Linked DNA regions of Caenorhabditis elegans. The protein of the gene in region 2 interacts with the protein of the main gene of each other region in a pairwise test. Each region holds a gene or a part of one and is shown on either strand. Other genes may lie near its edges.

Evidence for each region. Proteins that work in one complex are often made in the same cells at the same time.
Region 1: the proteins of ZK666.2 (region 2) and ZC239.15 interact in a two-hybrid assay, tested with the Caenorhabditis elegans proteins (one large-scale study listed by BioGRID).

What each region holds. Positions count from the first base shown.
Region 1 is NC_003280.10:3,220,314-3,227,702, forward strand, and holds ZC239.15 (BTB domain-containing protein), read right to left. Parts: upstream 4,419-7,389; 5' UTR 4,331-4,418; coding exon 4,220-4,330; intron 4,175-4,219; coding exon 3,905-4,174; intron 3,592-3,904; coding exon 3,480-3,591; intron 3,438-3,479; coding exon 3,232-3,437; 3' UTR 3,020-3,231; downstream 1-3,019. Other genes in the region: ZC239.22 (FTH domain-containing protein), read right to left, coding at 1-33, 310-461; ZC239.14 (BTB domain-containing protein), read right to left, coding at 885-1,045, 1,095-1,215, 1,264-1,542, 1,587-1,697; ZC239.13 (BTB domain-containing protein), read right to left, coding at 2,197-2,340, 2,391-2,501; ZC239.16 (BTB domain-containing protein), read right to left, coding at 4,457-4,813, 4,862-4,972; ZC239.17 (Potassium channel tetramerization-type BTB domain-containing protein), read right to left, coding at 5,169-5,567.
Region 2 is NC_003280.10:10,469,014-10,475,606, reverse strand, and holds ZK666.2 (Spore coat protein), read left to right. Parts: upstream 1-3,716; coding exon 3,717-3,911; downstream 3,912-6,593. Other genes in the region: clec-58 (VWFA domain-containing protein), read left to right, coding at 90-188, 413-612, 660-854, 979-1,091, 1,137-1,229, 1,288-1,386; ZK666.1 (Pepsin-I3 domain-containing protein), read left to right, coding at 4,260-4,673; clec-143 (VWFA domain-containing protein), read left to right, coding at 5,352-5,391, 5,440-5,582, 5,686-5,903, 5,969-6,067, 6,115-6,314, 6,544-6,593.

The DNA.
Region 1 (7,389 bases), 7.2 Mb from region 2:
GATCCTTCGTAGGCGAGAAGGTCGTCTGGGGTCCTAGAAATTTAGATATTAACCTGACCGCGGCGCGACCGCAACGGAAGAAAACAATTTGAACTCAACCGTAAGGCTATCAATTTAGGTGTTAAATTGTTGGAAAGCTCATGAAAATCTCAAAAATGGCATTATGAACGTTAGCTATAGGTGTTAAACACTTTTTTTTTTACCGCTACGCGACCGCATCGCTCCTCCAAAAAACTGAATTTTTCCCGAACTTGGGGCAGTATAGGAACCAAAATGCTAAAAATTTTCTGGAATGTTGGATGGACTTACAAAGAATCCTTCTCCCACATCGAGGAATGGCTATACCAAACCGCATAGCTCCGACATCTCAAATTCACAAGTGCTGTGAACTTAATGGAGTACGTGAAACTTGCAGACAGAATTAAGAATAATACAAATTTGCTGAAAATGAAGTTTAGCATTGAGGCTGTTTACCCGGAAAAAAATAAACTGGAGAAAGTGGTAGCCTTTTTAAGGGGCTCTGAAATGTAGCACACTGATAGCATTTTTATTGAGAAAAAAAACTGAAAACTGAGTGATAGAAGTCGGAAAAGTGCACTTTTCTCAAAATTAATCACCATTTCCTATCTTAAAACATGTGACCGGCTTTCCACAGGAAACTATTTTTTATGTCTGTGATAAGGATTTGGTTTCTGATTTCAAAATGAAAAGCTTAAAAAATTTTGAGATAAGAATGAATTTCCTTGCAAAAATCTACAACATTCTCAAATTTTTTACAAACTTTTCAAACTGATCTAATAAGAAATTTGGCTGAAATGTACATTTTTCATTCAAGAAATGAAAATGGAACAGTAATGTTAACTTTTTGGTCATTCTCCAGTTTTCTAAAGACTATTATAGATTTTGATCATTTTTTTCAACCGTTCCAAAAACGATGCACTTTGTCCCCAGCCAATTGACGGCGGCGGAAGCTCAACGTTTCGTTGCTCATAATAGTGCGTCACTATCCTTGCAGTCCACCCAAGAGCAGGTGAAACGTGTTCCTCTTTAAATAATCAAACATATCAACAAAATTATTTTCTATATTAACTCACTGAAATAAATATCGAACTGATCGGAATACTTCTCAATGAACGCACGCGCATCGAAATTATCTGGAAGGGACACCCTAAGCAGTATATCGGTATTATGTACGTATCCAATAATGAGCAATGGCTGAAAAACTTCAAAAATTAAAAGCAATAAAAGTACAGTCTAACTCACTTTTTGATGGTCAGCAAGAATTTGAAGCAATTTTGCATTGCTTTCAATAAACTGAAATTTTCTCCCAACTAGTTTCGGAGGTTCAACTGGCATTATTTTTGAATTGCACATCTCAATTAGCCCGTCAAGCAAATAAAATTGAGCTTCTACTAGTAGTTCCTTCAATTTCAGTTCACAATTGGGTAGAGCCACGTCACCATCTCTCATGAAATTCAGTATCAAGTCGAAATGTTTCGGGGAGCGATCAATAAAAATGCATCCAGATTCGTCGAGTTTCAGCTGAAATTTAGCAAATTCAAAAATGGACAATTTAAAAAACAAACCCCAATGTCGCATTCCAACATAGTTTTGAAGAATCCATTGAACTTTGTTAATGTAGATTTCGAAGTTTTGAATATAGTTCCGCCAACGTCTAGTTTCACAATTTCACTCATTTTTGAAAAGTTTTTGAGTGGAGAAAAGAGAAGAAGTAGAGTGAAATTTAGTTATCAGGTTTATCGAGCAGTATTTCGAAATTTTGTTTTCCTCAGAAAAGAAAAAATTTTCAAAAAATGTTCTGTTTACTTTTCCATTAATGTGATGAAAATTAAAGAAACAAACAAACACTTAAAAAGAAAACAGAGTGAAATTCTGCTATCAGTGAGTCGATTTAATTGTTCAGCCTTACCAAATTGTTGTTTTTTTCCTCAGAATTGCAAAATTGGAAGTTTAAGTTTGTTTGTACTGTATTATTTTTAAAACTCTCTATAAACTCACTTCCAGTTACAATACTCCCAATAAAATGAAAACTCAATTTATTTCAGTTAAACAATCACTTCCGTGAAATCCAAGAAGGTTTGGATATCCATGGAGGTGGGGGAGAAGATACAGAACAAGTTCGTGCGCTTTCAATAATTGGTAGCTTTTTAATATTACCCAATTCAATGAGTCCATTCAGCAAATAATATTGAGCCTCTGCCAGCAATTCTTCCAATTTTCGGGAAGTGACAGGTCACCATCTCTCATGAAATTTAAAATCCTGTTAAAATGTTTCGGGGAGCGATCGATAAAAATGCATCCGGATTCGTCAAGTTCCAGCTGAAAATTTTCAAGTTTTCAAATCAGGTAAGAAATCAATATCATGAAACCCCTGTTCCAGATTCCAGCATAGTTTTAAAAATGCTATCGAGTTTCATTAATGTATCTTTTGAAGTTTTGAAAATAGTTCCGCCAACGTCTAGTTTAACAGTTTCACTCATTTTTGAAAAGTTTTTGAGAGGAAAAAGAGAGAAAAACGGAGTGAAATTGTGTTATCAGTGAGCCGATCGATTTTGAATTATCAGTGTTGCGAAATTTTGTTTTTTTTTTTACAAAAAAATCAAAAATGTTAAGAAATAAAAAAAAACTTCTGAATTGAAAATATTGTCAAAAAATCCACAAAATGAGTTAATTATCTCTTTCTCTGCTTCTCCAAATACAAATATTGACCAAACTCCCCAATCATTTTTTCTAATTTTTCCAAAAAAGTTGCATCCCGAATTATCCGTCCGCCTCGATTAATTCGAAGATTGTGCGGAAATTGACTATAATATCCATTCTCGGTAGATTTCCACTTTATCCTAGCTTTCCATTTTCGAGAAGGTTCGTCTTCACTCAATCGCTCTTAATCGATTACGGTAATCAGACCCTTTCACATTCAAACATAGTTTTGAATAATCCATCACATTTTATTAATGTCGGTCTTGAAGTTTTAAAAATAGTTCCGCCGATGTCTAGTTTAACAACCTTGTTCATATTTTAAAATAGTTACGGTTTGAGGCACAGATGCAACCAAACTCAAAAAATAAAAATAAGAATGTTTGTTATCAATCAGACTTTGAACTTATCCATGTGTTTTGTGTTTAAAGATAAAAAAACAAGCTTACTAAATTATAATTTTTTAAGCTTCTAAATTAGAAATATTGTCGAAAAATCCATAAAATAAGTTAATTATCTATTCCTCTGCTTCTTCAAATACTCATCAAACTCCCCGATCATTTTTTCCAATCGTTCCAAAAATGTTGCATCCCGTATTATCCGTCCACCTCGATTAATTCGAAGATTGTGTGGAAATTGACTGTAATATCCATTCTCAGTAGGTTTCCATTTTATCCTTGCTTTCCATTTGCGAGAAGGTTCGTCTTCACTCAATCGCTCTGAATTGACTATTTTATGAGGATAATGTACAAAAAACTTACGAAAATAAATATCGAACTGATGTGAATACTTTTCCATGAACTCGTAAAGATTAAAGTTATAGGGAATCGACATATCATTCCCAACCATGCAAAATTCAATTATGAGCATTGGCTGTAAAAATTATATGTAGAGCTGAAATTTTTTGAAGAAACTGGTTAATTATTTTATGATTGACAAACGCCATACAGTGTGGCCTTACTATTAGGACTACAGCTTGCACTGGCCTATAGTTTAAGCCACGTCCTAGCCAGGGACTGTGGCCGATAATACAGTCATGGATTGCTCCACTCTCCAATACAGACTGGGTGAACCTAGGGGATGAGTCTAAACTTGAAACCGCAACCTCTAGCTTTCTAGCAGCTACCACTACCGACTGAGATATTCCTATGAATTTGAAAAACTACATTATTTTATCGAAACTCACCTTCTGTTGAACAGCAAGAATTTGAAGAAATTGTTCATCGCTTTCAATAAATCGAAGTTTTATCTTTGGAGCTTCAACAAGCTCAATCTTTGAATTGCACAACTCAATGAGTCCGTCGAGCAAATAGAATTGAGCTTCTACTAGCAGCTCCTTCAGTTTCAATTCACAATTGGGTAGAACCACGTCGCCGTCTCGCATAAAGTTCAGTATCAAGTCGAAATTTTTCGGAGACCGATCAATAAAAATACTCCCAGATTCGTCAATTTTTAGCTGAAAATTTGAAAATTTATCGGGAAATTTTTGGAAAAATCGGACCCCAATGTCACTCTCCAACATAGTTTTGAAAAATCCATTGAACTTTGTTAATGTAGATCTTGAAGTTTTGAATATAGTTCCACCAACGTCCAATTTCACAGTTTCACTCATTTTCGAAGAGTTTTCTAGGGGAGAAAAAGAGAAAGATGGAGTAAAATTTTGTTATCAGTTATAAGATTATCGATCAGTACATATTTCAAAATGATTTTTTTTAACAAAAATTAAAATTTCCAACAACTAAAAAAGATAACATTTATTTCTTTTTTCAACAATAAAATAGCCTTTTAGTGCAGGCATGTAATACACAAACACTAAAACCAAAAAAATTATTGAAAAAACAAAAAACCATGATAAATCATATTTTTTAGTGTTTGCTCTTTGATCAATTTGGACCTTTTTTGTAGAATTAAGTTTATCACAGCACATTAAGACTAGACCATCCAACCAGTAGAATTGAGCTTCTGCCATCAATTCTCTCAGCTCTCTTTCATCTTCTGGCAGTGGCAGATCACCATCTCTCATTAAATTCAGAATCAATTCAAAGTGTTTCGGGGACCGATCTATGAAAATGCATCCGGTTTTTTCAATTTTCGGCTGGAAATTTTCACGTTTTTTTTTGGAAAAAAACAACGATTTTCATACCCCAGTTTTGCATTCCAACATAGTTTTGAAAAAGCTATGGAACTTTGTTAATGTATCTTTTGAAGTTTTGAATATAGTTCCGCCAACGTCTAGTTTAATAATTTCACTCATTTTTGGAGAGTTTTTGAAAAAAATTGTAGAGGAGAAAAAGAGGAAAGTGAAATGAAGGTTTGTTATCAGTGAGTCGATCGATTTGAAGTTATCAGTGTTTTCAATTGATTTTTTTCCATACTATAATAGGTTTACGTTCGGGTCTGTTCACATTTCTATGATAGCATAATACAATGAAAATTGCGTTTAATAGCCACTAAAATAGGTAGCATTTACTAGATTTTTCAACAATAAAATAGCTTTTTAGTGCAGGGATGTAATACACAAATACCAAAAAAATTAATGAAAAAACAAAAAAACGAGTATAACTATTATTTTTAGTTATTGGTTTTTGATTTTGAATCATTCGGAAGTTTATTATAGTGCTAAGTTTCACACCGCACTTATTGTACAGTCCAAACATCTGATAGTAATTTGCTTCCGCACACAACTCTCTCAATTCCTTCTCAGTTTCGGGCAACCACAGATTCCCATCTCTCATTAAGTTCAGAATTAACTCGAAGTGTTTCGGGGAACGATCAATAAAAATGCATCCGGATTTTTCGAGTTTCGGCTGAAAATGTTCAGGTTTTTGGAGAAATATAGTCAGCAACATTATACCGCAATATCACTTTCAAACATAGTTTTAAAAAAGCTATCGAGTTTCGTTAATGTATCTTTTGAAGTTTTGAATATAGTTCCACCAACGTCTAGTTTAATAATTTCGCACATTTTTTGGAGAGTTTTTAAAAAAATTGTGGGGAAGAGAAATGAAGAAAGTGAGATGAAGTTTTGTTATCAGTAAGTCTATCGATTTGCAATTAACAGCCATTTTTATATTTTTAACAAATTTTAGGAAATAGTGGCGGTGGAGTTTTTTTCAAGACATGTATAGAAAACTTTCCGATTTCCGCTTTTGCAAATTGTGCAAAATTTCTGAAGGAATTTTTATAAGAAAAAACGGATGACACATATTTTTGACATTTTTTCTCGTTTTCAGCAAGAATTCTAATATATTTTTTCTCATTTTTCATGTAAGATACGTGTAATTTTGCAGTTACAACTGAAATTTCAAAATTTCCAATAAAAAATGCAATACCTCAGTCGAAATTTTTCGGCAATTGAAGTTTTTGGCAGCTTCACAAAAAATTGAAAAATTTCCCATATTTTTTGAAACCAGCAGTTTCCGAAGATTCCAATTGCCAAAAATTTTCAAAACACTACAGTTTAAAATTGGGGTTATAACTTCATTTTTTTTTGTTTTTATAATCATACAGTGTGGGAAAGTTCTATAGGACCCCCCCTAATTTGAAGGTTTGAGGAACTTCCGAAAATTTTTTCGAAAAACTGCTAATGCCGTTCGTTTTTAAATTGAAAAAAACCTATATAAATTTTTTTCCAGAAGTTTATCTCAAAAACTGAGGTCGCGCTGGAAAAAACGTCAAAATCCAGTGTGAAACTTCTATAGGACCCCCCGTTTTTTTTCACGATTTTTACTAAAATCAACAGATTTTGGAATTTTTGACAAAGCTCAAATCAAGTTTGAGTTAGAAATGAGTTCATATAAGCAGTTTTGACTTTAAAAAATTAATACGAAATGTTCTCGTGGGATCTCCAGACTGGTTCTGATTCTTCCGATCTTTGATGTTCAAGTCTGTTTCAAGCTTCCTGGTGCTCTCGGTAATGCCAAAACTTGATAAACTCTCTTTAACAAGTTCCTACTAAAATTCCTAGCACGCACTTTAGATGTTTCGACTGTGTAGTCAAGCTGATTTGGCAAAATATGCAGCAGGAAACAATGGAAGGCTTATCAGGAATCAAATCGTTTTTCTTTGATTACAAGGTTCCATGGGACCAATATTTCAAGTTAAATTGTCCCTCACAGATGTTATTTACTATTTTTTGCGTGAATTATTAAATGTGGAATTGTGGCATGTGTTGTGGCACACATATAGAGGCTGGAAAGCTTACTTCGAAAGCAGTCTAACTTGCAATGCCTCGAGGATCTGCCCTTTCGGACACTGAACGCGCTCAGCTGGATGTTATGAAATTGCTCAATGTGTCCCTGCATGAAATGAGTAGGAAAATTTCCCGTTCTCGACACTGTATTCGCGAGTATCTGAAGGATCCGGTGAGCTACGGTACATCTAAAAGAGCTCCTCGTCGCAAAGCTCTCTCCGTGCGTGACGAACGAAATGTGATTCGTGCTGCCTCCAACTCCTGTAAGACGGCAAGAGATATTCGCAATGAGCTTCAATTGTCTGCTTCAAAAAGGACCATCCTCAATGTCATCAAACGATCTGGTGTAATCGTTCGTCAGAAACTTCGCCCTGCTCCGTTACTCTCTGCAGACCATAAACTCAAGCGATTGGAATTTGCTAAGAACAATATGGGAACGAATTGGAGTAAAGTGAGAATTTAAAAAAGCAAGAGTGAAT
Region 2 (6,593 bases):
AGAACATTAAAAATTTTATACCTAAAATATATTACTATAGTCATTTCCGTATGCTTTATAATTGATAAAATAAAATAAAACAATTACAGAGGACTTTTGGCAGCTCAACGTGTTCTGAATTCCGGAAGACAACGCACCAATCGATATAATGTGAAACAGGTCATTCTTGCATTTGCAGCTGATTTTCAGTATGTTTTTAATTACAATTTTTTGACCAAATTATTTGAAAACTTTTTAATTTTTATAAGGATGAAACGAAGAAAACGAAAAGTTAGTAATAATTTTTTAAAGTATGCACAAAACAATCCTTCCTGTATGACTGTTTGAGTTGGTTGCATTTGAAATATTTTGGTTGTTATTTATCTTGATTCTGAAATTGTTGAAAGCTTTTTTCGGAGCTTAATATTTTCAGGGACGAGTTTAGCAATCTGAATGCAATAGAATTGTCACGTGATCTACAATCAAATGGAATCTCTATAATTACCGTGGCATGCACAAAAGACAGCTATGCACTGCCAAGAATAAATATGTGTGCTACTCCAGGGTATGCTTTTGTCGATGAAATGAATACGTCAAAGCTTGTAAAACAATTGACAGGTGCTCTTATAAACAGTAAGTACATTTTTTGTGGTTCTGGAATTATTTTGATAATTTTTCAGTTAACTGCTTCTGCCCAGAAGATTGGGTTCAATACACGGGATCGGATAAGAAAAAACTAGGAGTTTGTATCAAGGGATTCGACTTTTCCGGTTCCGCATGGGGATATGACCATGCTGTTCAATATTGTCAGAACCAAGTAAGCAGAGGACATTTGGCTAACGAGTTCAGCAAGGAAAAGCATGACTTCATAAATCGTAAGTCTATTTGCATATAAATAAGTGTTTTTTTCGTGCGGCAGTTTTGAGATTTTAGGAATATGTACCTAATTGATACCGTTTTTCCAATATTCTTGTGAAATTCATTTAATTATTGTTTCAGTCTACATGATGAATACATTCAATCGTGGGATGCATCTTGACTACTCCATTGGACTACGTTATTTAAATTCCACTTGGGTCTGGGAGGAGCCAAAGGGACAACCAAAACTTCCGGTATTGTTTTCATTCATCATCTAATGAAGAGTATATTTTTTATAGTTGAATCCTGATATTTATTCAACATGGGCACCAGGATACCCACAGAAAAACTCAACTGGGCAAGTAGTTGGTGTTAAAGCGAATGGAATTTTGGTAAGTATTTTACTCACGTTGAGTCTGAAACTAACATCAATTTGTTCCTTAATTTCAGACCAATTGGGTGGGCAGTGCAACTTCGGAATGGCTGTTTGTCTGTCAGGTTCAGTCAAGCAGCACAGAGCATTACACAACATATGTGGAGCAGCAGTGATCATTTTTTAAGTTGCTCATTTTTGTATATTCTTAAATTTAAAACAAAACTTGCAACGTCAAATTTCCAGTAATTAATATTAGCGCATTCGATAAGTTTTAGCGATTTTTTCCTGTTTTATGTTCTACTGATGTTAAAAATATTCATATTTCCACGGCAGCATTGAAATAATTTTTAATCATTTTTCCAATAGTCGTACTCTACGTTTAGAGCATTATTAACATGGCCAATCTAAAAAATTTCGATCTTTTGGTCCAGAAAAAAACCAGAAAGCACAGAAAAACCACAAATCAGAAAAACGACAACCCAGATACGTAAAGAACAGGTGAATTCAAATCTGTCATTTTTCAAACTTTTACTTCTTATTTTAGCACTCAACCTTTCATATTTGATCTCAAAATCACACATCTCCGAGTGAAAATATTTAGTTGCGTTTGTTCCTGAAAGTTATTAAAACTTTCCATTGATTTCCAAACTTCAAAAAACAATGAAATGCTGCTCCAAATGGATTTTTATTAACGTTACATTTAATCGGAGGCGTTTCACTACTGATGAATCTTTTGGCAATGTATATGATATGGTTCCAGTCAGCAGGCATGTATGGATATAGACATTGTCTTACATATGTGCAGGTAGGATTTTTTGCTAGCATATGTGTTGTTAGAAAAAAATATTCAGATAGTTTCCTTCTTAGTTGAAATCATTATGGCATGGATGATTCCACTCCATATTTTCTTTCCACTGGTAGCTGCCATTACGTTGAGAGAAGGTCATCGCATAATAATGAGTAATCAAATGGCTCTCACAATATGGATATTCCTGCTCTGTCTTGTTCTTCCGGCGAGTATAACTTGTTTTATCTACAGACATGATGCAGCTTTGCAAATCAATGAAGTGGGTCTCGAAAGTTTTTTCTCAAATGTTTTCCATAGCAATATTGTAGAACAACTCCAGTAAATATTCCCACAAAAAACTTGCCATGATTTTAAATCACATTTTCCCATTTCTCACCGCCATCGGCACCTCAAATTGTCAAAGTACTATTGAGCAGAAATATGAATATGTGCTGCAGGTGAGAGATATCAGGATACCCATGCATAAAAATTGACATTCAGAATTACCCACAGTGCATATCTTGGGTAGCATCAGAAAATTTCGAGGCGTATGACTATCATGTGAATCCTTGGCTTGTAAGGACGGTTAGTGCGGGGATTGGATTTATGGTCGTCAGTACAATGTGGGTGTTACTAAAATTTGAAATAGTTTGAATGTAGAAACTTGAATTTGAAGGAAAAATAGATTGGAGTATGTCTGTCTAATAAATAGTCTCAGAATGCTTGATTCAAAATCTATACAATAAATAAAAAGTTGAAAGAGTACACTACAGCCATGGCGCCTGTCTTGGCGTTCATACAATGATTGTCCTCCAACGCCTCCGATCCCATATGTCCGTACAAATCTATCAGACGCACCGAACAGCCCTCATAAGTTTAGCAATGCAAATGGCCTGTCCTTGTGTTTTCATTTTTCCGGTTTATTTTTATGCTGTAGTTTCCTGGTTAGAAGCTGTTGAGTTGCAAGGTGAGTTTCTTCTGCAATAAATTCTTTTAACAGGATGATACTTCCAGTATTCGTAGCCTGGTGTCCATGTATAGTGTCAACACATTCACTTTTGCTATGCACTGTGATGATCATGAGGAATAAGAACTACCGTTACGTTTTGAAAGAGAAGCTCTCGAAAGTGTTAAGGCATGTAATGAACATAGATCAATATCTCTGAAGTCAGGTTTCAAGTGATGTGGAGCCAAGTATGATGAGGACAATAACGTAGTGGTAGTTGCTCCTGTCACGACAACCGCCGGAAACCCTATCGCGGCGGCTGCCGTGAAGTCTATTAACAGTCTCCTCTGGTTTTTGTCGTTCTTTATTATGAAAAGGTTTTCTTTTATATACATCAAAATGGGCGGGAAATAGATTGGAATGCACTTAAAGTTGTGGGTGGATACATTCAATTAAAAGATAAGGGGATTGATAAAAATGAAAGTACAAAAAATATAAAATCTGATCCTCTTTGTTGCAGAGGATTAGACAGCTCCAGTTTTACCATAAGCCACCGAAAATATAACAAACAGTTAGTTTTCATTGTTCCAATAAATGTTTCACATGGCATTTAATATATATTTGAATAAATGGAGAGTAAAATTTCATGAAATAAATATATTTTTGCCCGCGTTAATGTGTTTTTTTAAAATTTTAACAAGTAATGTTTTTTCTCTAATTTTTCATATACATAAATTCATTCCTATTTTCTCACCGATTCGATCGAAAGAATGTACGCGCCGGGATATACTCCATATGTTGCTCATGGTTCCCCGTATGGTGCCCCAATGTATGGATCTCCGTATGGATACGGATACGCGTCGCCTGCCTATGTGCAACCAGTTGGACCACCAGTTTATGCTGGACACGGAGGATATTATAATGATGACTGCTGTGGATGCTGCTGTGGAGGATATTACTACTAGCCCTTGATATTTTTTATTATTTGAATAAAGATTTTTTCCCAGAAAAAATAAAGATAAACACTCAAACCAATCTGAACATCCAGCTCCCCACTTACAGCGATCAATAATAGCCACCCATCAAAACTGTCTCATCGTAAAAGGTGCAAGGTATCCCCCACCTATATCTCCTCTTGTCACAGTGGGAAAACGGTCGAACGCTGGTTAACAACCAAATGGGGGCGTGGCACTCAGGCCCGTATATATAAAGACAACCGGAAAAATAAGAATCATTCATTCTGGAAATCTTCCAGTTGTTAGCTACCTAGCTCTTTCTTACTCACAACTTCACTTTCAATTCTCACTGTCAAAATGGAGTACTCTTACATTCCATCTTTCGCCCTTTACAACAATGCTGATATGTTCCAATTCTTCCCTCGTAATAAGCGTCTCAGTACTCATCAGAAATCTTGCCTTGATGAGCATGCTCGGAAAATGGCTGTTTTCATGATGAAGCGACAAGAAGAGTACCGTTACTACGAGAACTTGGCCAATCAGGAACAGTTCTCCGATGATGCCCACTTCAGCGACAATGGAATGGATTCAGGATTCTGCAGTGGAGCGACATCAACTGGACAATCAGCTTCTACATCTCCTGCTCCAGTTCAGCTCATTCCAAATCCATTCTTCGATCCAGAAGCCAAGACTCAATCTCCAGTGAAACTCGTTGACAATCCAGAGCTATTCATGGAATCCAAGAAGAAGTCTGCCCGTATTTCAGCTTAATGTTTAAACATATTCAGTTTCCATTTTTGTGATTTTTATTCTTGATTAATTTGTCGGATCTCATAACCCTCGTAATAATTGTACATTTCAAAATCTCCCTGAAATTCTTTGTGCCGGTTTGTTTACTTTTTTTTTCAATTTTCAAAGAATAAAATTATTCAAATTCAAAACTAATTTTGTGGCAGTTTGCTCAAAAAACACAAATCTTATAAAAAACTACATTTGCAACAAAATTAAAAATCAATTCTACTTACTATTAGAAACGAACAAACTCGCTTGAAACTGAAAATAAGTTTCTCTATTTTTGGAAGACTGAAAACTTTCAAATTACGGTAGTCTTTTATAAAAAACATTGTGAATTCTCATAGTCTAAAGGTCGATTAACAATGATATCATATATTTCTAAATCATAAAGTCCGATATCATCATTGCACCTCCCAAATTTGCAGTTTTTGTATCTGTCTAGCCAACCAACTACGGTTTTCTTTTCCTCCCGCCCCTCATGGACCAAAATTCCGTCAACTATCGGTATTTCCATTTGTGTTCTTATCACTTTTCAAAAAAGATGATAATAGCGAGGAGCAAGTGATGATGACAAGCAATCTAGAAACAAGAAATGGGTATTTAAGAAAGTTTAAATGCTATCGAAAATGTCGAAAAGTTGAAGTTGATCAAAAAATGAGTACACTCGTCATATTTTTAACGTTGGCAGTTGTAGGTGAGGTTTCGACAGTTAACCAGACATGAATTTAAATATTTTTTTTAGGTACACTATGTTCACCGGTTCTACAGAACTCAGCAGCAGTCTATGCTGACCGGGTATGCCAGGGAGATATCAAAAACTTGTGGTTGGACGTAGTTGTAGTTGTTGATAAGTCTCAACTGATGACAAATGCACAGCTCTGGCAGGTTAGTTGTAATTTTTAAAAATCAAAGTTTTTCTTTAATTTGAAAGTTTAAAAAAATCTTAAATTATTTCCCAAATGTCCAAATTAACAAACAATGTTTTTAGGTCAGAAATACCATTACTCAATTATTTGGCTCATCTCGAATCGGTCCAACTAAATACCCAGCGGATCCTCGTAGTACATGTGTTGGAGTTGTGACGTATGATTCCGATGCTACCACAAACGCTCAATTGGACGGACCACACAGTTTCACTGATTTGTACAATGTGGTTCAAGGATCATTGAACAACGTCGATTCTACAAATTCGTCGTATTTGAGCAAGTGAGTTGAGATCTTCATTAAAAAAAAAGTAACTCGCACAAGTTTCAAAACTCACCAACTTTCAGAGGACTTCTGGCGGCTGAGCAAGCACTCAAGAATGGGCGTAGCCGCACATATCGGTTCAACTTTCTGAAAGTTGTTATAGTTTTTGCAGCTGATTATCAGTAAGCTGGAAAGAATGATGTAACATTACTAAAAAGTTAAATTTCAGAGGATCAGGAACCTCTAATGATGCATTCCCAATTGCTAGACGCATGAAATATGACAATACTATTATCATTACGGTAGCGTGCACAACGAATCAAGCAGCATTGGATGGATTAGCACAGATTTCTAGTCCTCAATTCAGTTTAGTGGATGAGATGAATACTTCTAAATTGGTTAAACAGTTGACAACGGCGCTATTGAGCAGTACGTTATATATTTTTACGTTAACTAACTGAAAAATGCATAATGACTATTATGTCTGTGGCATCATATCATTAGAAATCTCTTGAAACTATCTAATTGGAATTAATATGCATTCAACATTCATAGAGAACCAAAGATTGTAATCGTTGGTTGGATGTAACATACCTGGGTAATTTATCACATTAGTCAAATTATAGTTGAGTACGAATTCAAACAACAACTATTTCAGTCAACTGCTTCTGCCCAGAAAACTGGGTTCAGTTTACTGGCAACGGAACT